Caenorhabditis elegans: one gene and its partners. The protein of the gene in region 1 purifies or fractionates together with the protein of each later gene. This does not show direct contact. Each region holds a gene or a part of one and is shown on either strand. Other genes may lie near its edges.

Region 1 (4,787 bases):
TAATTTAAAATACCTCCATATGATCTGTCTTTCCGTATTTCTGTACTGGATCCACATCTCTGATGAGTCTCTTGTAAGAATCTTGTTCTTGCTGAATTCTCAATTCTTCAGTTTTCTTACGAAATTCTACGGAAGCATGATATGTATGATCTTCGCGACGAAGTGTTAACCGATCGAAGAATACGAAAACAGGAATACCGTCAGGTAGTTTCGTCTTAAACGAACAATATAAAATTGTTGATTTTTAAATAAAACTTACTTTTATATTCACCAAATCTTTATAGCTCACGACATCTTTTTTGTAGAATTCTTTACATGATTTCGATACTTCAGGAGTTATTTTCTCTTTAGAACCAGCAACCAAATCGCGTAGGAGATTTTTATCTTCTTGTGACACGTTCCACTGCGCCATTTGGTTCTGAAAAATGATGTTTTATAAATTGTCGCAGAAAACAATGATAACGCAAGCAAAAAATATGGCAATATATTGAAAAGTATGGAAATATATTTCGGGGTTGCAATATTCAGATTTTTCCCGAATGATATCGAATGGAATATTTTAATTTTTGGTCGCCGTAAATCTACATGAAAGCTGTGCGCACGTTGCCAATAACCGTGCCGCACCATTGCAGTGGCCGGGAGCGGTGCGATTTCTAGGCCAGCAGGGCTCTGCCAAAAAACTTTTTGCAATTTTTGCTCTGAAATCTGCAGAAAAACGCGAAGGGCAGCCTCAAGGGTGATGTCACGACTTCCTTTTATGACGCAGAACACCCTTTTGGACCACCCAGCGTGTGAATAATGTTTCGCAATGCTCTCCTTTCCTACCGAGGTCCTTTTCACTCAACTTCACTGTCTAAACTCGAAATATTTGCTTTTATTTTCTAATAATATATCCAACTTTTATTAATTATTACAATAATTTCAGATGAAGTGGAGGACGGTATTCATTTTCCTGTTAGCTGCTCATATCGGACTTGCCAATGTTAAACAAAAAAAGAAGGATCTATCCAGTTACACGTGAGGTTATATGCAATTTTAAAGCCTCATTTTTAATTACAGAGATGCGGAGCTGGAAAAGCTGTATGAAGAGTGGGAGGAAAACGACGAGGACGAACTAGAAGAAGATGAGAAGCCAGAACACAAAAGAAAACCGCCACAATTGGATCTGGAAAGTATGAAGGCAAAAGTGAGGCGAATTTTTTTTGTGTAAAAAATTTCATAAAATAATTTATTACAGGCCAAAGACCCGGAGGATCTTCTTATGATGTCAAAGAAAGGCCAAACATTGATGCTCTTCGTCGGAGTTGTTGATCCATCGCAACCAGATCGCTCGGATATTCGCCCGTTCACGGAAAAATGGACGCAAATATGGCAATCTCAACTCTACAATAATCACGTGGATCTGCAAGTTTTTGTGATTGACGATAATAGGGCCATCTTCATGTTCAAAAACGGAGAACAAGCATTCGAAGCAAAGAAATTCCTTTTGAAACAAGAATTCGTTTCCGAAGTGACGATCGAAGGACAGAGCTTTGACGGACCTGCGAAGAAATTCAAAACTGGCAAGAAAGAGCTATAATATTCACATATCCTAGTCATTTGTATCAAATATTTATTTACGAGGTTCCCCAATTTCTCATGTGCCTTTTTGCATTTCACTTACTTTTTACATAATATTTCACTCATAAATTATATTTTCTAATTCATTAATTTCTATAGATTTTCAGACAGTTTCCAACTGTTTTGATATTTTTTATTTAAAATTGAATGCGTTTTTTAAAGTATTTTAGAATGGACGTTGATGTGGAAGAGGCGGCATTGGAGCAAGTAGCAGCTCTACTACAACGTCCTGATCAACTGGAAAAATTGCCGGAACTCAAAAAGAGAGCTGATAGAAAGAAGGTAAAACTAATAAATTCTTCCAAGTTTATTGAAGTGTGAAAAATTAAAAAATTTCAGCTCGCTGTCGAGGCTATGCTCCGAACTGGTGTTCAAGGTCAATTAGAAGGAATTCGAACTGCAATTGCTCATCTTCAAACCGCTTCAGATGATATTACCGCTATTTCTCAAGGGTATTTATTTTAAATTCACTTTAACGAAACATTTTTTTGATTTTCAGAGTTCACGATATTCGAGAGCGTCTCGGACCATTTCCCCAACTGAAAGAGAAACTTCGAGAACTTCGTGATGCCAATGCTCGTCACGGTCAATATGCAGCTGCAATGGAGAATTTGAAGCATATTTTCAATCTACAAACAACACTTCAAGAAATTCGTGATGCGCTGGATGATGAAAAGTCTGGAGGAAATCTGTTGTTAGCTCACAAACATATTATGGATTTGGAAAGAGCTCGAGACGAATTGCTGGCCGAAGTTCATAAAATGAGTGGAACAAATACGGAAAAAGAGCAAATGGTTATTTGTTTTTTTTTTTGTATTTTCCAAATATTTATAATATTATTTTTCAGCTTCTCGTCAATTTCTTCAAGGGAGTTGACTCGGTTGTCGCCGAATTGTCGAAGAATATGTGGTTTATTCTCGGTCGAACTTTGGAAATGGTTAAGGTAATTTTTTTATTCGAATATATATTGATATGGTTTAAATATCAACTGAATAAAAAAGTTAAAAAAAAAAGAATTATCGAATTTTCTCGCCGATTTCAGCGAATTTTTTTTGTTATTTTGATCCGAAAAATTAAAAAAAAAAAGAATTTTTTTGTCCTCCAAAACCTTGTAATAAAGTTAAAACAATTGCGAGCGGTCACTGTAGATTTGAATCTCTGAGAAAACATCTGGTTTTACGACATTTTGCAGGAAAGTGAATTTCAGAATAATTCAAAATTCTAAAGTTGGATAAACATTTTAAAAATTCATTTTCGTCCTGGAAACCTGCCTGAACTATTATTTTTCAGGGAAATGAGCAAGGTGGCGGACCGCAACAAGTTGTGACATGTCTTCGAATTGTGGAACGAGAAGAAAGGTAATAATTTCATGAGTTGTCGTGATCAGGGCTATTGCAAAAAGATATTCTACCAAAACAAGAAAATTTTATTTTAAATTTGGACCAAAAGACAAAAAATCGAATTTATGAAGAAAAAAAAACTACTTTTGATTTTAAACGGGACACAACGAGAAATTTTCAAAAATGTTAGAACCTGAACGAACGGAAGGATTTTTGTTTTCTTTTTGTGTTTTGCTGAATCAGTGTTGTAATTTTTCGGTTTTTTTTGGTCCCAAAAAATATTTTTTTTTCCCAAAAAACCGACAGCCCTGGATGTGATAACAAAGTTATATTTATTTAAGAATCGATAAATTCTACATGGAAGCTCGAAGCAAGAACTCATCGGCATTTGTTCCACCAGGCCGACCTCGTAACTGGAAAGAAAAAGCCTTACGATCACTTGAGAAGACTGTCTCAAATCGAGTAGATGGAAATCAACTCGAAGATCGATCTCTGAACAAAGCGTGGCTTGCTAGATATTTAGAAGTTTGTAAAAATGTAATTATGGATGATTTACAATTGGCAAAAGTGGCGATTCCGTGTTTCCCACCGGATTGGCAGATTTACGATCGATATGTTCACATGTATCACACATCTGTGTGTAGAAGAGTGAGTATTTGACTGAAAAAATCGATTGTTTCCTCATTTCCTTGCTTTTAGCTCCGAGAAGTGGCATCGGAACATTTGGAAAAAAGCGAGCTGGTTCAGTTGATGTCATGGATCAAATTTTACGCATCTGAAGATATGCTAGGACATCCGAAACTGAGGATCAATGCACAGGCTATATTACAAGATAGTCCTGTTCTGTCGAGAAGCACTCTGAATCAACTTTGTGATCAATTTGTTGAAATGTCGAGAGATGATCTGAAATTATGGCTGAAAAATACTGTTTCTCATGAGACTCATGTAAGTTTTATTTTTTTTTTTTAATTCTGTCTTGAAATTTTCAAATCATCAACAAAAAAAAGACTGAATGATAGAAAAAAACCGTAATAGTCAAAAAAAAACTTTAAAATTTTTAATTAAAAAAAAATCTATTTAGTTTCGACATTTTGTTTTTTCTGTTGAAATGTTCAGTTTTCATTGATTTTTTCGTTAATATTTGATTCGAAATGTCAAAAAAAAAATTTCAGACATTTTTCCGAAGAGAAAACTTGATTTCTCGTAAGAAAATTACTAAAACTTAAAATTGGCTCAGAAATTAAAAATTAAAAAATTTTATAATTTTTCTTTGTTGAAAAATGTCTGAAAATCTGACAAAAAATGTTGCAAATCAAATATCTATGAAAATGTCAAGAAAGTTCGATGAATTTAGCTAGAAAACGCGAAAATGTCGAAACTAGGTAATTAATTTGCGCGGGAATTCAAAAATAAAATCTATAATTCAAAATATAATTTTTCGTACAAAGTAATAAAAGTAAATTTTCTACAAAATTATTTATTCCAGGATTGGTACAAAAACTTGCGGCCAAGCGAGGACAATCATGGATATTTCTACACTGATCTGCCAAATACTGTTTTTGGAATGCTCAAGGACACGGTAAGTTTTTTTTCAAAATATTTGTAATTTCCGCTAGTAGAAACTAAGAAATTTCCTTTCAAATCCAAAAAAAAATGCCGAGGAATTTAAAAAGCCCGAGAAAAGAACGCACACATATTATTAGCAGCTTTTGCATACCCTCTCCGAGTTGGTTTTTTTTCTAATTTCGCAAAATTTGTAATTCCGCGTCGTAGTTCGCTTCACGTCACCATCATCACCACCTCTTGTCGAAATTCACCACGAAAGAC
Region 2 (4,784 bases), on another chromosome or scaffold:
GAATGTAAGCAACTGATTTTTCATGCACAGTCTGTTTTTTTGCTTTTCAGACCTGTCAGAAGTGGGCTGGTTCGGGGTGTTTTGCTAGTTTATACGCTATGTGTCCACCGAAACCTTCAACATATGAAAAAGATAAAGATGATGAAGAAGATGAGAAGATTGAAAATCCTCAGGAAAAAACACCTCTAGAAAATGAAGATGAAAATCCAGAAAAGCAACCTGGAGCTGGCGACTCGAAAGAGCCAGATGAGACATCAGGAAATAGTAGTCCGAAAAAATCAACACAAAGAGGAAAAGGACTGGTGAGTGTTGCTATCAATTTTGATGTGTCTACTATATTTATTTTTCTAGGACCCCACAAAGCACACAGAGTCTCAAAAATTCTACTCATGGCTCACCGATTCGAGCAATAGCGGAAACAGTGGAGACATTTTGTTTCGTCCATCTGTTGCTTAGTGGCGCTAAATGATCGCATTTTTCGATTATGTGCCTTCAATTGTGTTGATAGAAAAATATTTATTAAACATAAAGTGTTTTATAAAGCCAATGAATTAAAAATATTTTAAAAACCTGGATTTGTGAGAAAAATAACGTGTTGATTATTCGTCGTCTTGTTCCATGGATTCCTCACTTTCGTTGTCGAAGACAGAACGGAATGGTCGTGGAGCTGGATCAACTGGACGGCCATCGGCGGTCTTAGCTTGAGCAAATCCGACACGGTTCTGATCAAAATCGAAGACGGAATAGTACCTGATTTTTCATTGGGTTCGTCAATGTTTAATTTGAGAAAAGATATGGCTCACCTTCCAATGAAGACATCTCCAAGAATCCAGAGCTCTCCAACGCGTTCTGGGAGATCGATTCCCATAAATCCAGACAAGCAAATAGTCTTTCCACCCTGTGAAACCTTAAGGACATAGTCTTCTCCCTTAAGACTGAACTCTTGTCCTCCGATCACAAAAGAGACTGGTGGAAGTGTTGGAACCTTGTCGCAGCTGATCATGTACTCTCCCTTGATGAGAGGCTCAGCTCCAATGAAATTTTGGATGGCTTCGATTTGAGCCTTTGGTCCGGCTATGAGAGAAGTACCGGTATCAGCAATTGCTTGGCATCCATTGGAGCATCCAAGAACTCCAGATCCAACAACCTTGTCCATCTTGAATTGCCAGTATCCCTTTCTGGTGACTGGAACATAGGTGATTGGCTCAACATATCTTCTTGAGTCAATTCCTCCAAAAGTGATTTCTCCTCCAATTTCAGAGTCTGGGTTACGGTTGAGCCAAAATGAGAAAAGATTCGATGGGACCTTCTTCTGTTCGAAAAGAGTGTTGAACACTGGTTGAACTCCTGCAATAGAGTATTACAGAAGTGAGAAAACCTAGTAAGTGCTCAGAAAATAAAAGTCATTTTCTGTAATTATTGTACCTTTGATGGCATACAGGATGCAACTTATTATTACTTCACACCAAAATGTTCAATGCACAGCTTTTATAACTAAAACAAAATGCTGAACCCTTCCGATTATCCGGGTGTATCCCAGTCTACTTCAAACTCTTACCGAGAACCGCAATTTCAGGGTAAGCCATTCCGAGGATTCCGTCGAATTTGGCAGCGACAAAGGTGATTCCTGGTTCACTGGTTGCTTCAGCAAATGGCTGATCCTCAGCGCACACTCCTGCGACGCAAACGCTATCCTTTGAAATGAATCCCTTCATGGATCCAGTTCCATATTGAATTGCCATCTTTCTACCATCCTCCTTGTATGTTGACGAGCTCTTTGAGTCGTAACGGTGATGAAGCACTGAAATGAAAAAGTGTTTTATTTGTTTGTCCAAACCATAAAACTGTCAAAAACAAACACGTTTCGGTCAGCATCAGTTCACAAGAAAAAGCATGATATCAGTTTGATTTGGTGATGAAATACTTACTGCATGCAATGTCGTAGAATGGACACTTTTTCGATGGAATCCACAAATTGGAAGACCCAGTATCAAAGATGACTGTGAAGTTTTGAGCTGGAGTTCCGATTGAGATGGTTCCAAAGTATTGAGCCTAAAACTTTGATTAGTTATATGTTTTTTGTTGTTTCAATTCTCACATCCATATAGTTTCTGAGAAGCTCATCAATCTCTCCTTCAACATTCAAAGCTTGGTACTTGTCGAAATGATGATTTCCATTGGTTTTCAAGTACTTCTTATATCCATGACGATGCTTGGCAAAGGTTTCGAATGAACCGGCTTGAAGAAGAGTCTCGCGAAGAGTCGGCTGCTTCTTCAGGGAAACGCTGCAAGCAGAATAAGAACTGAGCAACTGCTGAGTGGGTCACTTGTTTTTGTTCTTGTTGTTCGGATTTTTGAGCAGTGTTGATCAACTCGAATGGGATAAGCAGGAGGGTCTTGTGACCCATCGAGAGAAAAAGTGGCATGATGTGCCTTCTCGAAATCTTAGATTTGTGAGACAAAATAGAAAGAAAAAGTGTTATGATCAAAGTAGAAAGAAGTGTTCCCAACAAAACCCAATGAATTTAAATAATCCTTTCACAGTTAGAAAAATTTTATTAGGTTTTTTTTTTAATGTCAAAATCAGATTTGAAACTACAATAAAAAACAATGGACAACTTTCAGTTCTTTATAGTATCCTGTCTAAATGAGATTCTGACGGGATTATATAATATTGAAACAGATAACAAGGTTACTCATTACCGAGGATTCAAGTATCAATCAATCTTGCACATTATCACACCTATTCAGTTATGTCATAAGTAGGTGTTTGCGTGGCACCTAATATTAAGAAACATGACCAACATTTTCACTATATCGATGATCAAAATGAGGTGTCAACAAACCTCCAACGACCTCTACTTACGTTCTCAATTTCTGTTGCCTCTTGTGAACATGAAGACCTTGAACGAGAAGAAGTGCTCCGAGGAGCAAAAGAATACAGCGGTTCATCCTGACGATGAAACTAACTGAATGCCTCTTCCGATCTCAATTGTGCCTTTTCTTATCTCCCCTTTCTCTTCATGATGACTCCGCCTTGTTTCTTTGCCGGCACAACAGCAGCTGCAAGGTCAACTGTCTCGTTGTTATTCCTCCAGCTGTCATGCATAATTATCGGAAAGTAAATTCTAAACATTCAAAAAATGGCCTGACCGTTGTCAACGTGTCCGTCTGTACCGGTGAGATGACAAGTTTGAATGATAAGGGAATTGTGAAACTTTGTTCTGTTTCGATTTAGGGGAGAGAAAATGGGATAATTTCAAAACTCGGCCAAATCAAGATCCTATCTAATTTTGTCTTCAAGGTTGTTGTAGACAGTAATTGGGACTTTTGACGGAGTTTGAAAGACAGTTAGTCAATCACGCAATGGACTATGAAAAAAATTGCATGGCCACTTTTGAAATAAAACCAAAACGTTTGGAAGACCAAGCAATTTTAATGTTAAACTGTTAAACATAGAAGACACAAAAGCTCTGTAAATTGAGGTTTTTTTGTGGATGGAAAATAGCGTGGATGCTGCCCGTTTTTTCCGTCTGATTTGTGAACAACAGTGTTTGAATGCTAAGGATAATATTGATTTAGGTTCATTCATCTTAAAACAACTATGATTGGGTTATAGCTTTACAAAACAGATTCTACAATTGTTCAAGGGCTCCTATATCAAGTAGTTGCTTAAATTAAGCCTATAAAATATACAAGTTGCGTGGAAAACTTACAGGAGATTTAAAAATTGTTTTTGAAAAACTATATACAATTTTCGTATAACATTGTTGACATTTTTGTTCAATGTTCAATTTTCAGTTTTCATTAAAATTGTTGATGAAATTATCATGTCCTAATGCAATGTCCTAATGCATACATAAAAAATTTTAGATGAAATGGATTAGCATGAAAAAAGCTATACAATAAAAACTATTATTGGAAACAACCGGCACTGGATATATGAATATTATGTATCTTTTAATCACAACTCTCGAAAAAGTTATCCCCCCAAAGTCTGAAGAATTGAGCATAGTGAAACTTTACTTAACTAACAAAATTGAAAAATAATATTCCACAAAAAAGGGCAAATTAAGGCAGATGAAAAAAAAAACTTTAAAAAAAAGCACACTATTAAATTTTCCAGATTTAGTAATCAGAACGCTGCATTCAATTCCGTCATGAAGTTTATAAACGTTTAGTTCTTTTAAAACCTAGTATTTTGCAATAAACACCAGAAATGTACAAGTTCGGCCAAATTGGATGCAAAATCAGAAAAAATCGGAAATAAAAATCCGGTAATTTGGGGGCTCACCTCATATTCTGAAACAACGAGAACTTGATTTACATATGGTTCTTTGATATTTAATTTTAAGCAATTTTTTAATTAGTAGTGACACTTTAGTTGTTTGTTTTGTTTTCCAACTATTCTTTTACATTCTTATAACTTCAATTTTTCATTTATGAGGTTTGTAAAATAATTTATTCACAAATAAACTTGAATCAAAGTGTATAAATATATTCTTTCAAACATCTTCTTCACAATATGTGAAATTAAACATCAATCAGAATCCGTTGTGAATGTCATTGCAGATGTTCCCTCTCCACCATTTGCCAACGCTTCCTCCATTTGTTCTTCATCTGACCTGATTCCATAGATCTTGCGAATTTCTTCCGTGCTTTTTCCTCGAATCAATTCTGCTGCGGCTGCACACCCCATATTCATCAAATCTTCGACTCCAAGCGCATGAGAAGCATTGAGTAGTGCAAAAAGAACTCCCGATTCCACGTTGAAAAACTGCTTG
Region 3 (6,881 bases), on another chromosome or scaffold:
CGTTACCATGTTTAGTGGTTAGATCGGTTTATAATTCTCTTATAAACCTTCACAGTTACCTCTTAAAATGTTAAATTTTGTTCTGAAGTTTTCCAAAATAGATTGCGGCCTATCAATTTTACCTTTAAATCGAGTGATGAAAAAAAATGCGCTGTTAAAACAATTCTTACATGAAATAGTTTTAAATAAGATATAAGTACAGGGTGGTCCATAATTATGGACCACCCTGTATAAATGAGTCAAAAAATGTATATAAGAGTAAAATGTAAAACATAAAGTGAGATATAAACGGAATAACATTATAGAAGTTGTTTTTATTAGATTTAAATCGTGTTACACCCCTTTTTTATTAAAAGTTGCCAAAGTGTGTTCTTCAGAAAACACACCATTTGCATGTCAGATTCTTAAGTTGACCAGTTCAATGCAAACATTCAGTCAAAATTTCTACAAATGTGTAACCAAGAAGTCAGTTCCGTGAAATTTTTGTGAGCATTTGAAAATACGTGAAATAAAAGTCACCAAGCAAGACATTTATTTTTCAAAAAAGCAAGCATTACTACTATTTTCGAATGGGGAACACCCGTAAATTTATATTACAGACATCAGTAATGTAACGAAGTTCACCTATTACAGAATAGATAAATAAATATATTACAAAGCATGGTTCAGTAAGTATTAGAGTTCTGATAAATTAAAACTAAATTTTAAATGAATTAAAACAACAAAATTCAATAAAATTATTCGTCGTAATATTAGTGTTGTTGAGCAATTTCTGAGAAGAACTGAAGTACAGTGTCAGTGGAAACTTCGAGCTCAATCTTCGAGCCTGGGTAACAAGTGAGAATCAGTTTGTTGTATTCCGCAATTTGCTTGACAAATTGCTCTTGCATATCTCTCCATACAACTTGCAAAAGTGATGAATTGGCAACCAGGTTCTTCTCAATTTTCTTGTACAGTTGCTCGAGTCCTTTTTTCACTTCTTTTCCCGGATGTTGTGAAATTACCTGGAAAATTTATGAAATGGCGATTTTGATGATTAACTAGAAATTCAACCTTTTTAAGCTCAATGCGACTGAATTGTTGTTGATACGAGATTTCATCAGGACGAATTCCACGCGTTTCGATAAAGTTGTTGACATTGTCGAAGAACGTCTGAAATTTTTGGAATACATATCGATAGTTTTGGGAGATTTTTGTTTAAAGGTGGAGTACCGAAATTCGAATGAGATGTTTTGAAAATTCCTCAAAAAAAGTTATGGAGGTTCAAAGTCGGAAAAAAGGTTTTGCAGCTAAAATCACAATTTTTACAACTTCTCGGTGTCGCAGCGTCTGGAACTTAATTTTTATTTATTGATCACTCTTTAATAAATTTGTTGGTCTTTTATTGGGCGTATATGCGCTGAATTGTTGGGTCTAAAATAGCAAAGCCTCAAATTTTGGTACTCCAACTTTAAACTATGGTAGAGTGCCTTTTTTTACAAATGTTGTAGAATGACAAGCCAAAATTAGAAAGAAAAAACTAGTTTAAAGCATAATAGTCAAGTTTTTTTTCAAGCATTGGCAGCACAGTATTGAAACATAAATTTCCATATTTATATATCACCTGAATCTCTTTGAGTGGACGACCCATAAACTCTTTTACGTACGCATCAATATGTTCTTCCTTGAGCGCTTTCGCATCTTTTCGTTGTTGATCCAAACATGAGATTTTTAGCTCCGACAAAGTCACTGAAACATTTATCACCATCACACTTTATTGTTTCCTAGAACACTTACAATAGAGCTCGTGGTAATTTTCAAACTTGACTACAGACGACGGAGACTTGCTGTATTGATTGGCGGCAGCTTTTTGTATCCCGTCACAAACCGCCCGGCAAAGATTGAAATATGCCTTCTCCAAGTCAGTTCTTCTCTCGGCATTTTCAAAGATAATTTCAGCACGTCTCACAAAGTTTGCAAAGCGAAAAATTGATGGGAGAATTCCGATTCTAGTCTTTTTAGCAATGCGAACTTCCGAGTACTGGGAACATTCCATTTGCTGGAAGAGAAGATTATTGCAATTACAGTACATATAAATGGAACTCACAATAAATGCATCAAACTGGCGTTTTATCAGAACAACTAAACTTCCAAATGTGATCGAAAAATAGGAGCTTGGGTCTTGTGGTAGAAGCACTTTCTTCGACATGATTACAAACAAAAGGAGAACATTGCTAAAATGTGTAGGAATTTAAAATAATATGTACGTGTACCTTTTCTCACCTAGGATTGTGCCTACAAACCGCCCGACAGAAACTATCAAGATGAATATTGAGCGAGTCAAACAAGTTGCCCATAACGTGTCTCACTTGCTCGTTCATATGTTTCTCCATACTACGTCCTCCGAGACTTGAGCTATCACCGCTTCCAGTTGAAGTCGTATCGAACTGAGCCAACAGCTCCGAGTTGATGTGGAAGAAGCGGACAACGAACTTTTGCTCTGCGTCAATCACAGCGCTCAGTTCTGCCAGCACCGTTTCGATGAGTTGCGGTAAGACTTCAGTATCAATTTCACTGGAGGTGCTCAGGAAACTCTGGTTGTCAGAACGAAGTGAAATGTTTGCAGATTCATTTGCTTCTGAAATCAGATGATTATTTTTTGCTGCAAATATTAGCAAACATACTTGACTTCTTTTCAGAACTGTTAGCTTTTGGAACTTTGTTGATCAGTGTCTCAAAGAAATTGTCAAATAGACGTTTGTAAAGTAGATTCGTGCTGTCGATATACTTTTGCAAGACTAAATTGCAAGCCTTTGGACGGTTCGTTTTCAGCCAGTTGATAAGATCAGAGAGTGGAGAAAGGGCGCGAAAGCGTTGAGACTGTTTTGGAATACACAGTTCATGCCACTCATGATCCAAAGATAAGTCGTTCTGAAAAAAAAACACGCGTTGAAAATGATTTTATACAGTGCGCGCGCTTGCTACAGGATTCTTCTAAAATTTATAATAGATGTATTGAAAAAACTCCACATTTTAACGTGAATCTATTGTGAAATTATGGTATGTGATGTAAAAAAAGCTTCGCATGCGCTGTAAAATATCTGAAATTCGAGAATTTTGGTTGAAATTTTCAAAAAATTCAGAGGGTCCTTTAGCGAGAGCGTGACCTCCGGAATTCTCTAATACTTCTACAATTTAGGGGGTCCTCGAGCAAGCAAGCACACGTTCATTGAAACTTACCAAATTCGAGAACAGTGCAGAGAGGTGAGACATGAGCCTATCGACAAAGACATCCACTGCGGTAAGCTCATCATTTCTGTCCTGATAGGCTTTCATTTGAAGCATTGGCTTAGAAATCCTCCCGTGCCAGAATTGTGCAACAGCGCGTGCAGCGTCCGTGCATCTTTGAACACTGAAGTATCATAATATTACTTGAAAACTCTAAGTTGTTCACTCTACCTTTCTGGGTTACTGAAGTTAGCTTGTTTCAGAGTCTCAATGTGGGAATCAGTAACAGCCTGCAACGAATTGACAAATGAAACGATTTCCTCGTTGAGACGTTGCTTGTTCTTTCTTTCAACCACCGATAAACTATCTTTCTCTTCGATCAATTCGATACTGTTCCTCACAAACTGAAAATAGTTGATTAAAATTTCAATAAATTCCTTTACAATGTAGTACCGCCAAAATGTCATCACAACGATCAAGCTCTTTTTCGACCGACTCAACACCGGTCAATGCTGCATCAATACTCGAAAGCAACTGGTTTACGGAATTCTCACTGTCCATCATAGAGTTGATGTTGGCTCCATCGAGAGATTGCAATTGCTCCGTCAGCATTTCGGCAAAAATATGTGCTTCACCAATAGTCAAATTAGCTCGCGCAATCAACTTTCGAAAGTCTGCGTCCTCCTTGTTGGATATTGGCTGATAATCACTTTGCATCGCCATATCATGCTCAGGAAGCTCAATGGGTATAATGGAGGTTTCTGATTCAAGTTGCGGTAGAGAGAAATTGCAGAAATCTGGCATCTGGACTGGAAGGTATTGGCATGACAACTAAAATACGAAATTTTCAGTAAAAAAGTTGAAAGTATTATAGTTGGATACCTTGTAGAGTTCTCGAATGAACTCGTCCTTTTCCTCAGCGGAACCAGCCAAAATCACATATTGATGATCACCGATAGTGATGTGGAACTCTGGTGATGCCTGAATTTTTTTAATGTTTGTCAGTTGAATAAAATTCTCAATTTTTTTTAAACCCAAAAAAACTTGAAGTAAATGCGAATTTAACTAATTGATAAGCCATTTTGTCAAAATAATTCCTGCAATTTGCATCATCTTTTCGACAAATTTAGTGTACAATAACTATTCTTTCAACAACTTCTCACCTAACTTTAGCTAATTGCAATTTTTACAATTGATAAAGATCGTTGAAAAGTTGCGGCAAAATGGCGAATTTTTAGCTATTTTAGGTTGATAAACTCCATCAAACATTAGTGTTCGTAAAACTTGAAAATCCTCAGTTATTCGAGAAGCTTCACATTTTTTGCGTTATGTTCTTCGTTACGCTCACATTTGCTCACTACATATATCGTATAAATTGCGTGAATCCATATAATTTTCAAATACTCACTTTTTTCGGATTTATTCCGTCGATTTCTCTGACTTCTCTCAAATTGAACCTGTCCTTCTTTTTGAATGTATCATCTTTCTCCCCTTTCACAAAGTATAAACGGACGGCGATGGGGTGCTCGATTGTGACTGCAAGTTATCGATTTTTATACAGGACAATTCCAAGAATTCTTACCTGCTAAACATAGTAGTGTCTGGTTTTTCTTCTTTTTTCCATCCAACTTTGAGACATTGACTATTGCTTGAATTCTTTCATCGTCTTTCTGGAAAAGTTGCCGCTGGATTATCTTCCTGATTGCAGACATTCAAATCTGAAATTGAAAATTTATATAATCACATTGATTAAGTAGAATAATAAAAATTTTAAACTTAAACCAAGCATTAAAAAAGAAAACAATAAAATCAGGGAATTGGAAACAGTTATGCCCAGTAAAAACATACGGAGTTATTCTGCGTCTCTGCAGTTTTCTGTGGTGACTAGTACACGAAAAACACGCCAGTGGCCGGTTAGCGTGCGCGTTTCTCGATGAACACCACTATTTATATTGCAATGCAGGGAAGCAAAAATAATTTTATTTGGTTTTATTTTTACACTTGCAAAAGATATAGTAATAGAATTGAAACGAATTGATTGACCTGAAAAGATTTATTTTTGGCAATTATTTAAATAGAACACGATTCCTAAAACGGACCGTAAAAAAATGACAATTGAAAGTTTTCAATTAGGAGAATCTGCAAAAGTAAAAAAGAAAGAAACAATAAATAATATTACACGGATCAGAAAAAAAACAACAGAGAGTTTGAAAAGGTCGTGGTTTTGATTTGGAAGTGACTTGAGGCATAAGTTAAAAGTAGAAAAAAAGTAACAGAAAACTTAAGTGAGACAAAAGAAAATGATTAATGACATGTAGCTATATTAAATCGGGGGTAAGTTTCAAAATGAGATTATCACTGAACAGCGTTTCTGACTGGATACATGGTGTAGTTGGTAGTAATCAAAGTGCGACGCAGCGGAAGTGGGCCTGCAGGTGGAAGTGTGTAGTTGCGGTTACGAATTGAAGTCGGGATTTTGATGATCTGATTTATTTATTAGTTTTTACAGTAAATTGTATTATCGCCCCTTTAAATTTTTTTTTATAAAACAAATGTGGACATATGTATATTTCAATACATTTTGTTACATTTCGCGACATTACTTGATTAGCCCCATTAGTAATTATTGTATTCTAAAGAAAAAACACACAAAATATGCTGGACAATCCGAATTTGGAAGTATTTTAAATCTTGGTAACTACTGAAACTTGTCCTATTAGACCTGCTAGCTTATATCTCGGTTGTCTTAAATTGTACCAAAAATAGTACAATGTCAATATGTTGAAAATTATTTTACGTAATTACGCAGTTAAAATGTTTTGATAAAATTAAAGAAAATCGAGATATTAGCTGTCAGCGTGAAGCAATCGGTGAGCAAGTCTAATAGTGATAATACAATATGTAGTAGTACCTTCTGACATGACAAGTAACTTAATGCATTTATCAAAATCTTACCGCTCGACCCTTTGAGTACGGAGCAGATCGCACAGTGTACTGCGGCTGACTTGCCGCCATTTTAGAGACGACTTCTCCAAGACTTTTTCCAGGTGGAACCGGTCGAGACGATTTTTTGCTAAAACGAAAAATATTGTTAAAAACCTAAATTTGGTAGTTCTTACAATTTGACTTGGGGCGGCATTGTGCTGAAAGTCAGTGTCTTAAAAACGGTCGCCGAGGGGACGTAGCTTTCCGAAGGCGAACGTTTTATGAATTTCCCGTAAATAAATGTATTTTTCATGCTCGACACAAAATCATCGTGATCTGCAGACTCCAGCTGAAAAAATAGTTCTGCTTTAAAAACTGCAAATTTAGAACTCTATCTAACCGTTGCCAATAAGTCGCTTTTAGCCTGATTGTAAACCACTAAGCCAATGCTACCCGACATAACTGCCTGCAGTTCACACTTTGCGTACGTGTAATATGCGGTTGTCATCACTGTTTGTTTGTCTCTGGTGAACAAGAATTCCTTTACAAAATCACTGGAACGGCGTGTGATGGCTTGCATCAGAAACGGGCCAGATGGTATTCGAGCATTTTGCATTGACTCACACTGCAAAAAAAAATGTATTTTAAGCGACCAATGTGTACGTTTTTTTTCTTTTTTTTTCTCTCACCACCGGCATCTCTCCACACCCGTGAGTCAGCATTGTGTGGTCACTGGCTTGTTGTAGAGT

Evidence for each region. Proteins that work in one complex are often made in the same cells at the same time.
Region 2: the proteins of sec-6 (region 1) and asp-4 fractionate together in Caenorhabditis elegans (co-fractionation; one large-scale study listed by BioGRID). This does not show direct contact.
Region 3: the proteins of sec-6 (region 1) and sec-3 fractionate together in Caenorhabditis elegans (co-fractionation; one large-scale study listed by BioGRID). This does not show direct contact.

Annotation. Positions count from the first base shown.
Region 1 is NC_003280.10:5,357,770-5,362,556, forward strand, and holds the start of sec-6 (Exocyst complex component 3), read left to right. Parts: upstream 1-1,782; 5' UTR 1,783-1,791; coding exon 1,792-1,902; intron 1,903-1,959; coding exon 1,960-2,072; intron 2,073-2,119; coding exon 2,120-2,414; intron 2,415-2,467; coding exon 2,468-2,563; intron 2,564-2,910; coding exon 2,911-2,978; intron 2,979-3,301; coding exon 3,302-3,608; intron 3,609-3,659; coding exon 3,660-3,905; intron 3,906-4,446; coding exon 4,447-4,539; intron 4,540-4,787. Other genes in the region: F09E5.11 (Transmembrane protein 199), read right to left, coding at 14-214, 260-412; bmy-1 (Boca/MESD chaperone for YWTD beta-propeller-EGF), read left to right, coding at 926-1,017, 1,060-1,186, 1,238-1,579. UniProt on the Caenorhabditis elegans protein: Component of the exocyst complex involved in the docking of exocytic vesicles with fusion sites on the plasma membrane.
Region 2 is NC_003284.9:13,218,476-13,223,259, forward strand, and holds asp-4 (Aspartic protease 4), read right to left. Parts: upstream 2,988-4,784; 5' UTR 2,953-2,987; coding exon 2,867-2,952; intron 2,286-2,866; coding exon 2,099-2,285; intron 2,053-2,098; coding exon 1,929-2,052; intron 1,802-1,928; coding exon 1,559-1,801; intron 1,348-1,558; coding exon 804-1,347; intron 751-803; coding exon 600-750; 3' UTR 510-599; downstream 1-509. Other genes in the region: R12H7.4 (G_PROTEIN_RECEP_F2_4 domain-containing protein), read left to right, coding at 1-4, 51-302, 352-456; skr-20 (Skp1-related protein), read right to left, coding at 4,541-4,784. UniProt on the Caenorhabditis elegans protein: Aspartic protease, which is part of the necrosis cell death pathway. Involved in neuronal cell degeneration. Involved in heat stress response.
Region 3 is NC_003284.9:3,094,919-3,101,799, forward strand, and holds sec-3 (Exocyst complex component 1), read right to left. Parts: upstream 4,935-6,881; 5' UTR 4,920-4,934; coding exon 4,790-4,919; intron 4,744-4,789; coding exon 4,616-4,743; intron 4,189-4,615; coding exon 4,090-4,188; intron 4,039-4,089; coding exon 3,661-4,038; intron 3,612-3,660; coding exon 3,439-3,611; intron 3,392-3,438; coding exon 3,220-3,391; intron 3,146-3,219; exon of another isoform or gene 3,010-3,145; intron 2,911-3,009; coding exon 2,664-2,910; intron 2,618-2,663; coding exon 2,263-2,617; intron 2,214-2,262; coding exon 2,087-2,213; intron 2,039-2,086; coding exon 1,777-2,038; intron 1,729-1,776; coding exon 1,604-1,728; intron 1,153-1,603; coding exon 1,054-1,152; intron 1,005-1,053; coding exon 753-1,004; 3' UTR 510-752; downstream 1-509. Other genes in the region: ztf-13 (C2H2-type domain-containing protein), read right to left, coding at 5,563-5,691, 6,163-6,280, 6,327-6,481, 6,533-6,757, 6,822-6,881.